Xenopus tropicalis: one gene and its partner. The protein of the gene in region 1 interacts with the protein of each later gene in a pairwise test. Links are inferred from orthologs where the notes say so. Each region holds a gene or a part of one and is shown on either strand. Other genes may lie near its edges.

Region 1 (6,879 bases):
TCTTTGCAGCTTTCAAATGGGGGTCACTGACCCCGGCAGCCAGAAAACTATTGCTTTGTGAGGCTCCAGTTTTATTGTTGCTGCTATATATGACTTATCTTTCTATGTAGGCCCTTCTCTATTCCTATCCCTGTTCCCTTTACAAGCCGCTGCCTGGTTACTAGGTTAAACAGAGCCCTAGCAACCACGAGGCTGCTGCGATTCCAAACTGGAGAGCTGCTGTAATATTTCAAAATAAAAAATGACGACCAATTGCAAGTTGTCTCGGCAGAGGCACTCTCTACATCATACTAAACGTTCATTCAAAGGGTTAATAGGGTTCTGCCCCATCCATGAATAAGATGCACTGCAAGGTCAGTACATGAAGCCCATTGGGTGGGTGGGATTATGGGCTGTCGGGTCGGTATCGGTACCAAGTAAGAAAAGGACAAGAGCATCGTGTTTTCTCCAATATCGATCTAACCAATGACGATGAAGCGCAGAGGTCACATGATCCTTTTATTACAGAACTGGGAGCCAATCCCAGGCTGGTTCTGTTTCACTCACATCCAGCGCCGACACGGACTAACGGACAAGTTGGATTTTGGCACTTACAGGGTTACAAAACACTGGCAAGTCTTTTCCGACTGTTTATTGGCAAGTTCTGGAAGACGCTGTATGATTGGCCCAAACATCCACACGCTCTCCGGGTCCAACCAAGTGACTGAGAGTGCAGGGGTTCCTTGTATTCCCCCCGTGTTAGGTGTCCTGTAGGTCGGGGATGTCGGAGAGACTCATGGGGGAGCCCAGCTGCAGATCCTCCTGTAGGGAAGCCATGTCCGCCGGGTTCATGCTGTGAATGTCCAGCCAGTCGGCCAGTAGCGACGCAGAAAGGGGGGCGGAGTCCACGTGGCTGAAAAGGGATAAAGCGGGAGTTTATTAGAGAAGACAGAGAAGGCACTACTGCTGTGCGTCGGCTCAATGTCAGTCTGCAGTATAAAGCATCTATAGATCTAAGTGCCACATAGAACTGCCACCTGGGGCTTTAGTGTTTATGGGGTGGTTCAACTATTCCTTTGGAACTACACTAAATTGTTTATTGCTACTTTTCAGTACTTATTTTTCTATTCGGGCCCTCTCCTTATTCATATATCAGTATTGTATTCAAACCACACCCTGGTTGCTAAGGTCATTTGGATCCAAGCAACCAGATTGCTGCTAAAAATGCCAAAACGGGAAAACTGCTGAACAAAAACTGAAATATTTGCTAAACTACAAACAATAAATAATGAAGACCAACTGAAAACTGTCTCAGAATTTTACTCTACATCATAGTAAAAACGAACTCAAAGGTGAACAAGCCCTTTAATAGGATGGCAACTACAGGCAACCCCACCCCCACCCAAACTACACCAGTTATACTGTATATATCCCCTCCGTTCACCAGTACCATCACATTTTCCTATAACATATAGCAGCTTTCACCCGGCGACCATTTTCCCTCTGACACATTATCAGTTAAGAATGCAGGCTTACACAGGCAGAACTTGCTCTGATAAAAATATCTGCTTTGTCTCAGCACTGTAATGGTTAAGCTGAGCTCTGGAGAGGAGATTAGGACAGCTAGAGCAGATTCAATGGAAACCAGCCGTGCCAGCTTTTCATTGGCTGCTAGGCTGGAGGGTGTGTTTAGTAACCTGAGTTGAAAGAACTGAGCATGCTCAGTAGCCAAGAGCCAAAGTCAGTTCCTAATGGAGGGGGCAGAGGAGGGAATAAGGGGTGCTGCAGCCTAAGTATTAACCTTTAAACAACCAGAGTGGCAAATATTTAAAGAGGCTTGGAAGTAGGCAAAGTAAATCATACAGACAAAGATGGGGGGGGGGGGACGGGATCCAAACAAATCAGGTCTCGGTACCTTTCCCGGTTCTCTGCTGCCATATCAAAGGACTGATTGAGAAATTCTTCCAGATCGAACCCCACTCCGTACCCGGCTCCGCTTCCTTTCGGAGTGACCGAGAAAACTGGAGGAAGGATATCTTCAACCTAAAAGGGTCAGAGTGTGAAGAATACGTTACAGGTATGGCAGCTACTACCCGAAATGGGGTCCAATCATAGTATAGAGCACCCTGATAGGAGGGGCTTTGGGTTGGGATTATGAGGAATATGGCAGAGATGCAAACGTTACTAAACGGACTACAAATCCCAGAATAATGTAACATATAATGAAGGGTGAGGCATTCTGGGAGCTGTAGTCCAGCAACATCAGGGTTGTATTCTTAAAGCAATATTGCACAATAAAACTTTCCCAGCTCTCTAGGGCCCGCATTGGCAGCATTGAAATGCAAAAGAATCCTCCAATGAGAATCCCAGCTGATCTGTATAAATCCGGCTCCCTGTTCTCTGTTCCTGCAATTGGAGTTGGGAGCATTAAGCACAGTTTCCCAGCACTGAACAAGTCTGTCCCTTTATCCCCATGTCTGATTCCTGTGCCATATAATGACGGGAAAATGACATCATTATCTCTATATGTAAGGTACCAGCAAGGGGCCTGACACAGTGCTGGGAATCAGCATTCTCATTGGTCACTTCTCTTGCATCTATAATTAAGTTTTGGGTCAGTAGAATTCTCATTGGTGAATTGGTTTCCATGTGTAATTACGTTTTTCAGAGAGCTAGGGGGCGCAGTGGGGCAGCTTTACGGTTGGGTTTAGTAAGAATAAAGTTGCGATGATCTGACCTGGGATTTGGAAAGTTGCTGAGTCACCAAGTTGATGTCTGGAGATGTTGCCTGGGGGGCGTTGGCGCTGCTGTACGACGTGGGCGGAAGAGGTGGGAAACTTTTGTGCTGTTCCGGGTTCTGGAAGACGGATCCATTAGAATATGCAAGTCCTGGGACTCCTCCCTGTGGCTGTTGGAGGTCGGGGGGCTTATGGAGGAAGAGGGAAGTGTCCACGCTCTTGCAATCCACTCTGTTTGCCCCAGACCAGCCCTCCTGAGCTACACACCGGGGCCAAGGGGGATTCATTCGTGGGGGCGTGGGAAAGTTATTGGTCAGGACTTGTCCTCTGCTAACGAATGAGACATCGGCCGGCAGCTGGGCAGCTATGGGATTGGAGTCTTGCTTCGCTTGGGCGGTCAGCATAACGGAACTAATCTGAAAGCCCGCAGAGGAGGGCGGGACATAATGGAGCAGGTTGGTCACGGCGCAAGGGTTCAGACACCTCGGAATGAACTGGATGGTAGGCGGTACCGCTGGGGCAGCAATAGTACCGTTCTGTTGCCTCCCAACCTCTATAAGAGGAGCTAAGTTGGCCACACCAAACACAGACTGCTGCAGCGGCTGAGCCACGGTGCAAATGTTAACGGCTGAATTGGAATGACCGGGCCCGGTTATCTGAGCAGGAGGAACGGCCGGCTGCAGCTGGGTCTGGTCGACCATTCGACTCCAGCGTTCCAACAAATTCTTATCGTTCTCGCTCAGCACCAGGCCTCCGAAGCCTTCTATCTTCTTCACTTCCCGACGCTCCTTCTCTTTCTGCTTTTTCTCCCGCTCCCTGGCGCGTTCGTGGCGCCGCCTTCGCTTCTCCTCCCGCTCCCGCTGTCGCTCCTGAGCCGTGACTGGTTTCCGGGTTTCGGGAACCTCAGGGACGGAAGTGGGTGCATCTGGGGGGAAAAAAAAGCACGTTAGCGTTTGGGGCTAATTTAGGAAGAGTAAAGCTGGCCATACACGCTAGTGATGTGCGGGTTCAGGCCGACCTCGGAACATCACTTGCAGGTCGTGGGTGGGTTTGGGGTGAGCTCTTCCACTCGTCCTCCCCGCCCCATGACCTAATACTGCCGGTGTCCTCTTCCGGTTTGTGAATTAGGGTAGGGTAGGGTTAGGAACGGATGGGTTAGGGTCGGGGGTCACACCAATATTATTATATGGAATGAGGTTTCGTATGGTGGATTGACGAGGCAACCAATATCGCAAAATCCTTGGGATATAGGTCGTCGATTGAAGGCGCCCAAACAAAGGCAAGTGTTTAGGGTTGAACCATCAGATAGGGGGTCAAATTCCTATTGTTTCTACCTCCATATCGGACGATTGAGCCCTGAATGTTAGTGAAGATCATACTTGTATCGTGTATGGCCAAGTCAAACTTTGTCTGTTTTCCAAATGACTTAAACATAAGACCCGTCCCACTTATTACCTTTACTCTTGTTCCGTAAAGCTGACTTCAAGAGAGCGGCCTTAAGCGCTGCTTTAGTATCCTCCGATATTGCCCCTTCTCGCTTTGGCAAGGGCTCCGGTTCAGCTTTAACCACTAGGGTTTCTTCTTTGCCTTCATGATCGTCCCCCAGCACCTCTGTCTCTTCCTTCTCCACAGGAGAGGTGAGATCGATGGTCTCTGTGTTCTCTGCAACCCGGGGAGACTCCATTGGGAAATCTGCCTTGTCCCGAGCCGAATTGGCACTGGGCATCTCTATATCCAATCCCTCGGTGGGTGGGGGTAGTGGTGGCGATTGGAAGGCATCTTCTTGAATAGGTCCGTCCCCGATGGGCCCTTCCACGGCTGGTCTGAGTGCTGGTTTAAAGCTGATCTGCCGTCGTATGCCCTCCCTTCTACGGTGAAAGCCGTCTATCTCCGCCGTTATAGCCTCTTTTATTTGGTCCTTTGTGAGAATCTTTTTATCGAATCCAAAATCAAAGGCCGGGACGCATTCTGGTTCGTCGTCGGGGTCGTGATATTTGGACAGGAAAGGGTGCCGAAGTGCCTCTGCTACGGAAATGCGGTCACGTGGGTCAAAACGTAGCATTTTTGACAGCAGATCCAGAGCCTTCTTGCCAGCTTGGGGGTAGAGGGTTGCCCAAGGCACTGGTTGGCGCGAGGGAAGACTTTGGATATAAGCCCTCACTCTCTCCGCCCCAATGGCTCGGATCACCTGACTGGAGGGTGTGCCCAGCACAGTCATGATGAGATGTAGCTGGTGGAGGTAGTTTTTGCCTGGAAAGAGAGGCTTACGTCCCAACATTTCAGCAAATATGCACCCCACAGACCACATATCAATGGCCTGCGTGTACTCGTGGAGAGACAACATCAGTTCAGGGGGCCGATACCACCGAGTGGCCACATACTCGGTCATGAAATACTTGTACTCGTCCGGCTTGGTGCAGAGCCCCCGGGCCATTCCGAAATCCCCGATCTTCAGCTCACAGTTCTCGTTAATCAGAAGGTTGCTGGGCTTCAGGTCCCGGTGCAAAACATTGGCCGAGTGGATGTATTTCAGGCCGCGCAGAAGCTGGTACAGGAAGTAGCGGGCGTGTTCGAGGGTAAGTGGCTGCGACGAGTGGATGATTTGGTGCAAATCGCTCTCCATAAGGTCCAACACCACATATCTGAAATGGAAACAGGTTATAGAATCTTGATCCTCATATACATAACAAACCCCCCTAACTATATGGTATGGAGAATACTGAACATGATTGGTGCATTTTATATTACTGGTAGCACCGGCATTAAAATATGTGTGACTTACCAAATTGCTTGACTATTATTATGGAGGAGATATTTCTATGGGAACTAAGTTGTCAGTTTATTACTCCCTACATTCAGCCTCAGGGCCGCCATCAGGGGGGCACAGGGGGGACTGGTGTCCCGGGCGATCTTTCGCTTTAAAGGGGGCCCAGCTGTGATACAGTTTTTAAGCTCGGGCCCCATTTAAAGAATTACGGGCCCTGTCATTGGTGGCTAGGGGGGAGCTGGAGGATGCTGAGGGGGAAAGCTGGAGGATGCTGGGGGGGAAAGCTGGAGGATGCTGGGGGGGAAAGCTGGAGGATGCTGGGGAGGAGCTGGAGGATGCTGGGGGGAAGCTGGAGGATGCTGGGGGAGAAGCTGGAGGATGCTGGGGGAGAAGCTGGAGGATGCTGGGGGAGAAGCTGGAGGATGCTGGGGGAAAAGCTGGAGGATGTAGGGGGAACAGGATGCAATGGGGGGAGGGCCATAGTATGAGGACACTGGGGGAGGACCAGCAATGTTTTAGGGGGCCCTGGGTTGGCTATCAATGTATTAGGGGGTCCCTGGCTACCAATGTCTGTGTCCTTTGTACAGATGAGAGGGGCCATTGAGGGTCGGGGTGTGGGAGGAGGAGGGCCCAGAAAATTTTGTTGTGAGGGGCCCTGTGATTTCTGATGGCGGCCCTGTTCAACCTCCCCTACGGCAGGCTATAAAAGAAAAAACTCTGTCTCCTCCTACCAAGTAGTTTGCTGGTCATGTGATGTACAGGTCATAAGGCCCTCCCACTACGTCACTGCCCCCAAGCAGCACATAATAAAAAGGCCCCTACACAGATCTGAAGTCGTTGTAAGGCACAGACGGCTTTAAGATGTCCTTTATGGCAATGATGTTGTCGTGCTTGAAATGCTTCAGGATCTTAAGTTCCCGCAGGGTGCGCTTGGCGTTCGTAACCACGTCGAAGGCGTTGGGGATTTTCTTAATGGCGACCCTTTGCCCTGGGGGGGTAACAAACAGGGGTCATTATACAAGTGCTGAATACAGTGTCATATAATAAACATTAAAGGGAAACTAAACCCAACCGTAAAGCTGTCCCACTGCGCCCCCTAGTTCCCTACAGAAGTTGATGAAGAACGTAATTACACATGGAAACCAATTCACCAATAAGACCGAAAACTTAATTATAGATGCAAGAGAATTGACCAATGAGAATGCGGATTCCCAGCACTATGTATGTTTCTTTATACAAGGGGCGATTGCAACAAAAGCCCCCCTTGCTGGGCTGAAGAGACGGCAGTGTATTTCATTAGGCCACAAGGTTCTCACCACAGCCTTTCCGCCTGGCCGAGGACACCACCCCGTAAGCGCCGACGCCGATGGTTTCGATGATCTCGTACTCGTCCCC
Region 2 (7,647 bases), on another chromosome or scaffold:
TAGAGCAGGTTGCAGAATATACAGGTTGACCCTGAAAGAGCAAAAAGGAATACAAAACAGAGCCTCTATCTATACTGTCCAATTGCATGCTGGGTATTGTAGTTTTATATTAATCCTAACTGTAGATTAAGGCTCCAAAAAATAGCCCCAAACTGTTCCTTGGTGGGTTTGTACCTTGGAAACCTGCCAGGGCTTTAAATTGGTAGCCCAATTTTGCAGAAACACCAACCTGGCAACTCTGCTGCAAGTGTGGCCATTAAGGAAAGCACCATTGACTTGGGGAGGGGGGTAGGCAATATGTAAGACACCCCCACCCAATGGCTGTAATTGCTTAAAGCCTTAAACAAAGGTAGTGTTATTTTACATGCCATCCCAGGCAGACTTCAGCTGCTAATTTGGCCACTTCAGACCTAGTCTGTAGCTTATCTGCCTATGTATGGGGCCTTCAGACTGTCTGAAACTGGATCAGACATTGATAATGCACTGACTTGGTGTGCCATTCACTGGGGTGGGGGGGGGGGGTTGCAGTCATGGTCCTGTAGCCAGAGGGTGTTTGGGGTAAAGGATTCTGGTCTAAATCTAGAATAATAAAATCATATGTCTAAAGGTGGCCACACACCTTTTTGAGATGGGTCAGTCTATCGGACTGGACGACCTTTTGGCTAACAAAGTGTAGTATCGAAATGAGAAACACTTGGTCCTCTGGCCTTTAGGTTGTCAGGCGGAAGCTTGATGAAAGCAGAGGAGCTGTGTTCCCATAAGGGAATGCCTGACATATTTTAGTTGGGGACTTTGCACATGCACCTTCTGCTTAATTATGCTTAACTTAATTTGCCCTGGCAATTAGGACGGCGGGAGGCATTTTTCTTTTTGGCCGCCAGCTGGAGCCTTACCAAGGCAATCCATGGCATTGCACTCGCACACTTCAGCACCTGTCTTGTTTGATTTGTGCACCATGGATTGGTGTCATAGTCCTCTGGGTTTGACCCCAGGCCAAGACCTGATGGGTCTCACACTAGCTTCGGCAAAGGTGGACGTACCCGCCCATGCTGTTCATTGGTGAAAGCCTTGGACACATGAGCATTGGAGCCCAAGCCTTCACATAGGACTCACGCAATGAGTCAATATTATCATCAGCCTGGTGGAGCATGCACAGAAGAGGAACTGGAGATTTTGTTCATTAGAGTGCGTGTCACTGTTGACCTCCAGATTCCCTTCCCTGTATAAAACCATCAGCAAATGGCAACCTTAGTTTATGGTTGCTATAGCTGCCTGCTGATTGTGATTGCACCGATCTGCAATCTTTGTTTTCTCCAGTGATGGTTCTGTCTTCTCCCACTTCCCCAGCTGCCTGCTACTGCGCAGAAATGGCTAAATTGGCTAAATATTTAAGTTCATTTCTAGTATGTTATAGAAAGGCAAATTATAAGCAGCTTTTCAAGTGGTCTTCATTTATTTTTTTTTATAGCTTTTGCCTTCCAACTCTTTGCAGCTTTCAAATAGGGGTCACTGACCCCAGCAACCAAAAAACTATTGCTCTGTGAAGCTACAGTTTAATTGTTGTTGTCAGATTATATTTCTCTATTCAGGTGTTCTCCTTTTCAAATCAGTCTTTCATTCAAATCACACCCTGGCTGCTAAGGTAATTTGTATCCTAGCAACCAAATAGCTGCTGAAACTCCAAGCTGAAAAGCAAAAGCTGAAATAATCTACAAATTTGCAATTGGTCTTCATTTTTAATTCTCAGAATATTACTATCTACATTATACTTAAAGTTAACTCAAAGATGGACAGCTTCTTTAAGATGTAATGGAAGGCAATATGGTGGCCGCAAGTTCAGCTGGCCAGAATAGTTTAAAGCCCAAACAGGGATAAGGTATGTATTGTGTTTAAAAAAAAAAAAAAAAAACTTGGCTATTAGGTTGAGAAAATGTAGATCAAACCAATGGTGACTAGTTAGAGGGTTAACTTGTCCCTCTATGTGCAACAGAACCAATTGATAAATCTCCCCTATATTCATATAAAGCACATTAATACCAAGTGAAGCATAACATCTCAGCTGGTAGATATCCATTATTTACCCATATTGTCTATGACCATAATATTCCAATTCTAAATCACTTAGTCCTTTTGCCATTGCTATAATTTTATTAGCAAAATTACTCTTTGCCCCTTATTTTTACTACCAGTTACTTAAGGAAGCCTATCAATTATGTATACTTATTGTCAATAGCCATAAATATTGTACCGTGAGGCATCCATTATTTATTGCTGCTGTCCATAATGCTGCCTTTATCCCTCCATGGCGAATGCTAGCATCTGTCTCCATTATTTTGGGCTTAACAAGTAAGTTATTAACATTCAAAAAGCCTAATGTCTAGTGACTCTTCTTCCCTTCTGCCGGGATCTGCTGTTCTTAGAGGGCCATGCATGAAAAGATTGCCTGCCAAAGACTGCCACACCCATAGCAAATTCTTATTGTGAGTGTGATTTGTAGCAAAGCTTAAGTGCCCACCTATTTTCTTTCTTCTCTCGTAGGTTACAGCAGGAGCTGATGACCTTAATGGTGAGTGTAAACTTTATGTGCATACAATGAGGATAGTACTTGTGCTTTATACTTTTTAAAGGGAAATTCTGACTTACCAACCAAAGTTTTGTAAGAGCCACACACAACACCAAAACTCTTAATATATATCACTGTAATATGTTCCTTCAAAAAATGAATATAACTTTTATATGCTGAAAGCCATCTGCAAAACAGTTCCTTGCATCATTTGAAATCCTGGCAGGGGAGAAGGGACTAAAACATTGATGTTACAAATTGTAACAACTTTCCAAATTTTACAGACAGCATGTGGAAACTACATAATCCACAATGCATTGCACCGTGGCGTTCCTTTCCTTAATGACATGTTTGCAGGGAATTGTGGGATTTAGAGGATGCAGGCGGTGGAGAGTCAACTACTGTTTTATTTAAATCTCACATTTGTCTGCCAGATCATTAGGAGAACAGGGGGCAAGGCTTATGGAGCCATTCCAAACCATGTTACATTAAAATTCATGAAACTGCTGTGTTTTAAGTTGATCTATATTGCAAAGTTGCTTGAAATTGTTTACTTTTTAAAAAGCTTGTTTTGTATGGGTGGAATTCCCCTTTTAATAAGCTGTTGAGGGTTTTAGGAAACTTGATCTTGTATGTTTTTTCTCCCCTAGATGTCTGGGGATAAGGGAATTTCTGCATTCCCGGAGTCTGATAACCTATTTAAGTGGATTGGAACCATTGATGGCGCAGTCGGCACGGTAAGGCTTCATGACACATTTTGAAAGCTGCTGCCCTTTCAGGGACACCTGATCAAAACCCTTGCCTTCCTTAGTTGCTTTCCATGCATTCGCAGATGAAGCCCTGCCAAATGGTGATTGCCAAGGAATGTAGAAACAACTAATACCTACCAGGCAGAGGTAGTGTGCTGTAGACTTTGCACGCAATCCACAGTTCTTGCCTCTCATCAGCTGCTTTCCATTAATTTAAAAGTTAAAAGCAATGACTGAATTATCTTGTTGAGGTATATTAAGGAGTCTTATGTTGGATATTCTGCGCTAATAAAATTTCTCAATTTTTGTAGGTATATGAGAGCCTGCGCTATAAGCTGTCCCTGGAATTCCCTAGTGGCTACCCTTACAATGCTCCCACTGTGAAATTTGTTACACCATGCTTCCATCCAAATGTAGATAGTCATGGAAACATCTGTCTGGACATCCTGAAAGACAAATGGTCTGCACTTTATGATGTCCGAACAATTCTTCTCTCATTACAGAGCTTGCTGGGAGGTGAGTGAAACACCCTTTAGCCTATAATATATAGAACATTGTAGAATATCACTTATTCAACACCTGGACAAATCAAAAACATTGCTTACTTGAAACTGTTGTTTTCAGGCTTTATTACGGCATTGGTCTTCTGGAAAGATCATGCTTTAGCAAACCTTTGGATATAATGAAATAACTGGAGAAATGCATGCATGTTAAATATCACAAATGAATACACCTGAGGCATAGAGGGGGGCAAGCAATGATTGACAGCTTAGATATTTAAATACATTTTATAACAGGATGTGAGTTTTCATGTTTAATTTGCAATGGGCTTTTTTATAGAGCTTTTTGTGTGGGTGACAGGTCCCCTTTAAACATCCATTGGGAATGATGGTACCAGTCATTTGCATTTTCCACCACAACAAATTCTACCTGTATTGGTTCTGAGAACTGCATCAGGGTAATACTGTAGGACCACATGACACAATGTTCTTGGCTGCTGCTTTTCACACTGTTGCACACCCAGGCCAGGCTGTAGATAGGACCCAAAAGATCACAACATGAGAGTTCAGTATTTAGTAAATAGTGCTATTAGCCTGGGGTCTCTGGTACGTGGATTCACTGGTTGTGCCTAACATATTTTTTTTTTTTTTTTTTCTTCTCTCACCAGAGCCCAATAATGAGAGTCCCTTGAACCCATATGCAGCAGAACTGTGGCAGAATCAGACAGGTAAGTGCTGCCATTAGTCATAACCACCCCCATCTATCCTGCGACATTCGTGAAATATAATGAGCCCCATATTGGCCTGCACAAGGTGGCAAATATCTGCCTTTTGGTGACTTTGCCAAATGAGCAGATCTTTAAGTTGTGTGACTGCATGTACTCTACAACCTATTTGCAATATGCTTTATGGATAGAGTGGTGTGATTAGCACTGGAAGGGAGGCACTTCCCATACTAATGGTGGCCTTTACACCTTAAAATTACCCTCCGTTGATGATCAGGGCTGAATTGTAAGATATGGAGGCAGAAACAATTCAGCCCTAAATGCATATTTTGCTCGGGTGCCCAATCAATCTTTTGTCCTGCTGATTGGAGAGATGACCAACATCCAAAGCTTTTGTGATATTGGTAGTCTCGTCAATCAACCATACACACGACAAACACGGTTTTGTACAATATCTGTGCGTGTATGGCCAGCTTAAGTATTCAGTTCAGTATTTTGGAACAGTTGCTGCAGTAGATGTATTGGGATGGTGTACATGGCTTTGACGCTGTACTTTATTTTTTCCAGCTTACAAGAAGCATCTCCACGAGCAGTACCAGAAGCAAGTCCGAGAAAAAGACATCTGACCACCCCCTCCCCCCACACCCTTTCCTATTCCATTTGCATGTTGTGTGCTGTACATGTATGCTGTAATATATGCTTAACTTAACAGAAGTTTGTACAAATAAAGCTGTTTTATCGTTTTGCTGTGTGGTTAAAATCGTGCGTGGTGCATACTAGGAATACAAGTAATCTTAAATTTTGGGATAGTCCTTAAGATAGCCACACACTTTTCTCTGCCCAATTGGCTACCCTTGTACCGTGCCAAACTGGGCTGCTTTCTGGGCAGATACCAGTTATGTTCATAAGTGTTAGGAGTGGCAACTGGGGTGGTATTTTATTTTTTGTGCTGCTAATGTATGTATAATTTTATTTATAAAGCACCACAAGCGCTGTACAGTCTTATAGAATACTAATCCTTGTTTCATGTAACTCAAACATATAATATAACAGCATTCTCAGGACTTCTGGAAAATTTCTAGAAAAGCTTTATTCAATGTTTAATTTCAAACATGAGACTTCATTAAGGCTCATGTTTGAGCTGAAATGTTGACTAAAGCTTTTCTAGAATCTTAAGTCCTGACAATGCTATGTTTTTTTTTTTTCGTGTGTGACCATACCGGAGTAAAAAGCAAACAGAGAAAGCTTCTAAAGTTGAAGATAGCAACTGCCATTTTCAGTAGCTTTCTAGCTGCAGATTCTGGCCCAGGGGATTTTTCTGAGATGGAGTCAGACACCAGAACAACATGTGTATAAAATAAGACACCAGAAATCCTGTGTTTCCTTTGATTGAGGACAGCATTTCTGTGAGTTCTTATGGCTGTATTTACTTAGACCTTTCTGATAAAGCTTACTTAATTTTTACCTTTCCTCCTCCTCTAATTGACATGCGCCTAAAGAAAAGATCCTGGTGGGATATGTACATATAAATGGAATGTGCTTCCTGTGATAAGAATTCACTATATTATAAATAAACATGGGGGAGCCAGAGCTGGAGGAACTTAAAAATCCTCTTTAACAGATTGATTAGTGAAAGCAGATCTAGGATCCAGTTTGGTTCCCACAACAACAGACCCTGGCACCAATATGGAAGGGAATGTTTGCAGTGTAAACAATGTTCCTATGTCATTAAAACCTTGTGTTTTACACCCCCTTACTTGGGAAGAATATATGAGATTAATGGTTATTACATCTTTCATCTTTGTCTCAGACCATGTGGCTTACCTCATAAAGTGCTCTTGTGTGTTACTGTGTGTAGGGGAGATTAGTCGCGCCACAACAAATTTCTAAATCGCCAGTGGGATGGAATAAGCGGCACCGCAATTTGCTGAAGTTGCCTTGAGAGGAAACTTCAGCGCCGCGTATGCAATCCCAGCGGTGATTTAAATTCTAGCCGGTGGGATGGCATAGCGGGGAGATTAGTTGCCCGTGGCAATGGAGATTTGTTGTGGCCCTAAAGGGGTTGATCACCTTTGAGTTAAATTTTAGTGTGATGTTAGAGAGTGATATTCTGAGACACTTTGTAATTGGTCTTCATTTTGTATTTGTAGTTTTTTAGTTCATTTTAATTCAGGGGCTATTTGTTTGCTAGGGTCCAAGTTACCTTAGCAACCATGGAGTGGTATGGATGAGAGACTGGTATATGAACAGGAGAGGACCTGAATATAAATGTGTTATAAAGTAACAAAACTGTAGCCTTACAGAGCAACAGCTTTTTGACTGCTGCGGTCAGTAACCCCCATTTAAAAACTGAGTTTGGAAGAAGGCAGCAAATCAAAAAGTATAACATAAATAATGAAGACCAATTGAAAAGTTGCTTTGAACTGGATGCTCTATAACAGTGCTGTCCAACTGGCGGCCTGCGACCCCCCTCTGTGTGGCCCCCCACCTGTCTGGCTGCTTTGATGGCTTACCTTTGAGTAAGCATTAAATGGTATCAGTACTGAGATTAACTGGCCCCCTGCATGGTTCTCACCTCAGATTCAGGCTGTAATCCATCTGTATTGTTTAAAAATGTAATCCCCTATGTTTTTCACACCTTTTAGTTTCTGCATTGTTCAACCCCTGCAGTGTTTACACCTCAGGCTCAGACTGTAGTCACTCCCATTGTTCACTTCTTCACACCTCAGACATAGGTACTGTAGGCAGAGTATGGCACATACAGCCAGCATAGGGCAGGTAGAGTATGGCACACACAGGCAGCATAGGTCAGGGTGGGTATGGCACACAGGAAGGGTAGGGCAGGCAGAGTATGGCACACACAGGCAGCATAGGGCAGGCAGAGTATGGCGCACGCAGGAAGGGTAGGGCAGGCAGAGTATGGCACACACAGTAAGGGTAGGGCAGGCAGAGTATGGCACACACAGTAAGGGTAGGGCAGGCAGAGTATGGCACACACAGGAAGGGTAGGGCAGGCAGAGTATGGCACACACAGGAAGGGTAGGGCAGGCAGAGTATGGCACACACAGGAAGGGTAGGGCAGGCAGAGTATGGCACACACAGGAAGGGTA

The links.
Region 2: the proteins of mapk7 (region 1) and ube2c interact in binary tests that used the Homo sapiens proteins (3 or more experiments, as listed by UniProt). The two-hybrid records come from large-scale screens. The link is inferred for Xenopus tropicalis from reciprocal best matches to the Homo sapiens genes MAPK7 and UBE2C.

The regions. Positions count from the first base shown.
Region 1 is NC_030685.2:7,117,733-7,124,611, forward strand, and holds part of mapk7 (mitogen-activated protein kinase 7), read right to left. Parts: coding exon 6,801-6,879; intron 6,473-6,800; coding exon 6,307-6,472; intron 5,360-6,306; coding exon 4,173-5,359; intron 3,643-4,172; coding exon 2,717-3,642; intron 2,023-2,716; coding exon 1,895-2,022; intron 893-1,894; coding exon 739-892; 3' UTR 1-738. UniProt on the Homo sapiens protein: Plays a role in various cellular processes such as proliferation, differentiation and cell survival. The upstream activator of MAPK7 is the MAPK kinase MAP2K5.
Region 2 is NC_030686.2:19,656,511-19,664,157, forward strand, and holds the end of ube2c (ubiquitin-conjugating enzyme E2 C), read left to right. Parts: intron 1-2,538; coding exon 2,539-2,566; intron 2,567-3,213; coding exon 3,214-3,300; intron 3,301-3,623; coding exon 3,624-3,828; intron 3,829-4,480; coding exon 4,481-4,540; intron 4,541-5,104; coding exon 5,105-5,163; 3' UTR 5,164-5,280; downstream 5,281-7,647. UniProt on the Homo sapiens protein: Accepts ubiquitin from the E1 complex and catalyzes its covalent attachment to other proteins. In vitro catalyzes 'Lys-11'- and 'Lys-48'-linked polyubiquitination.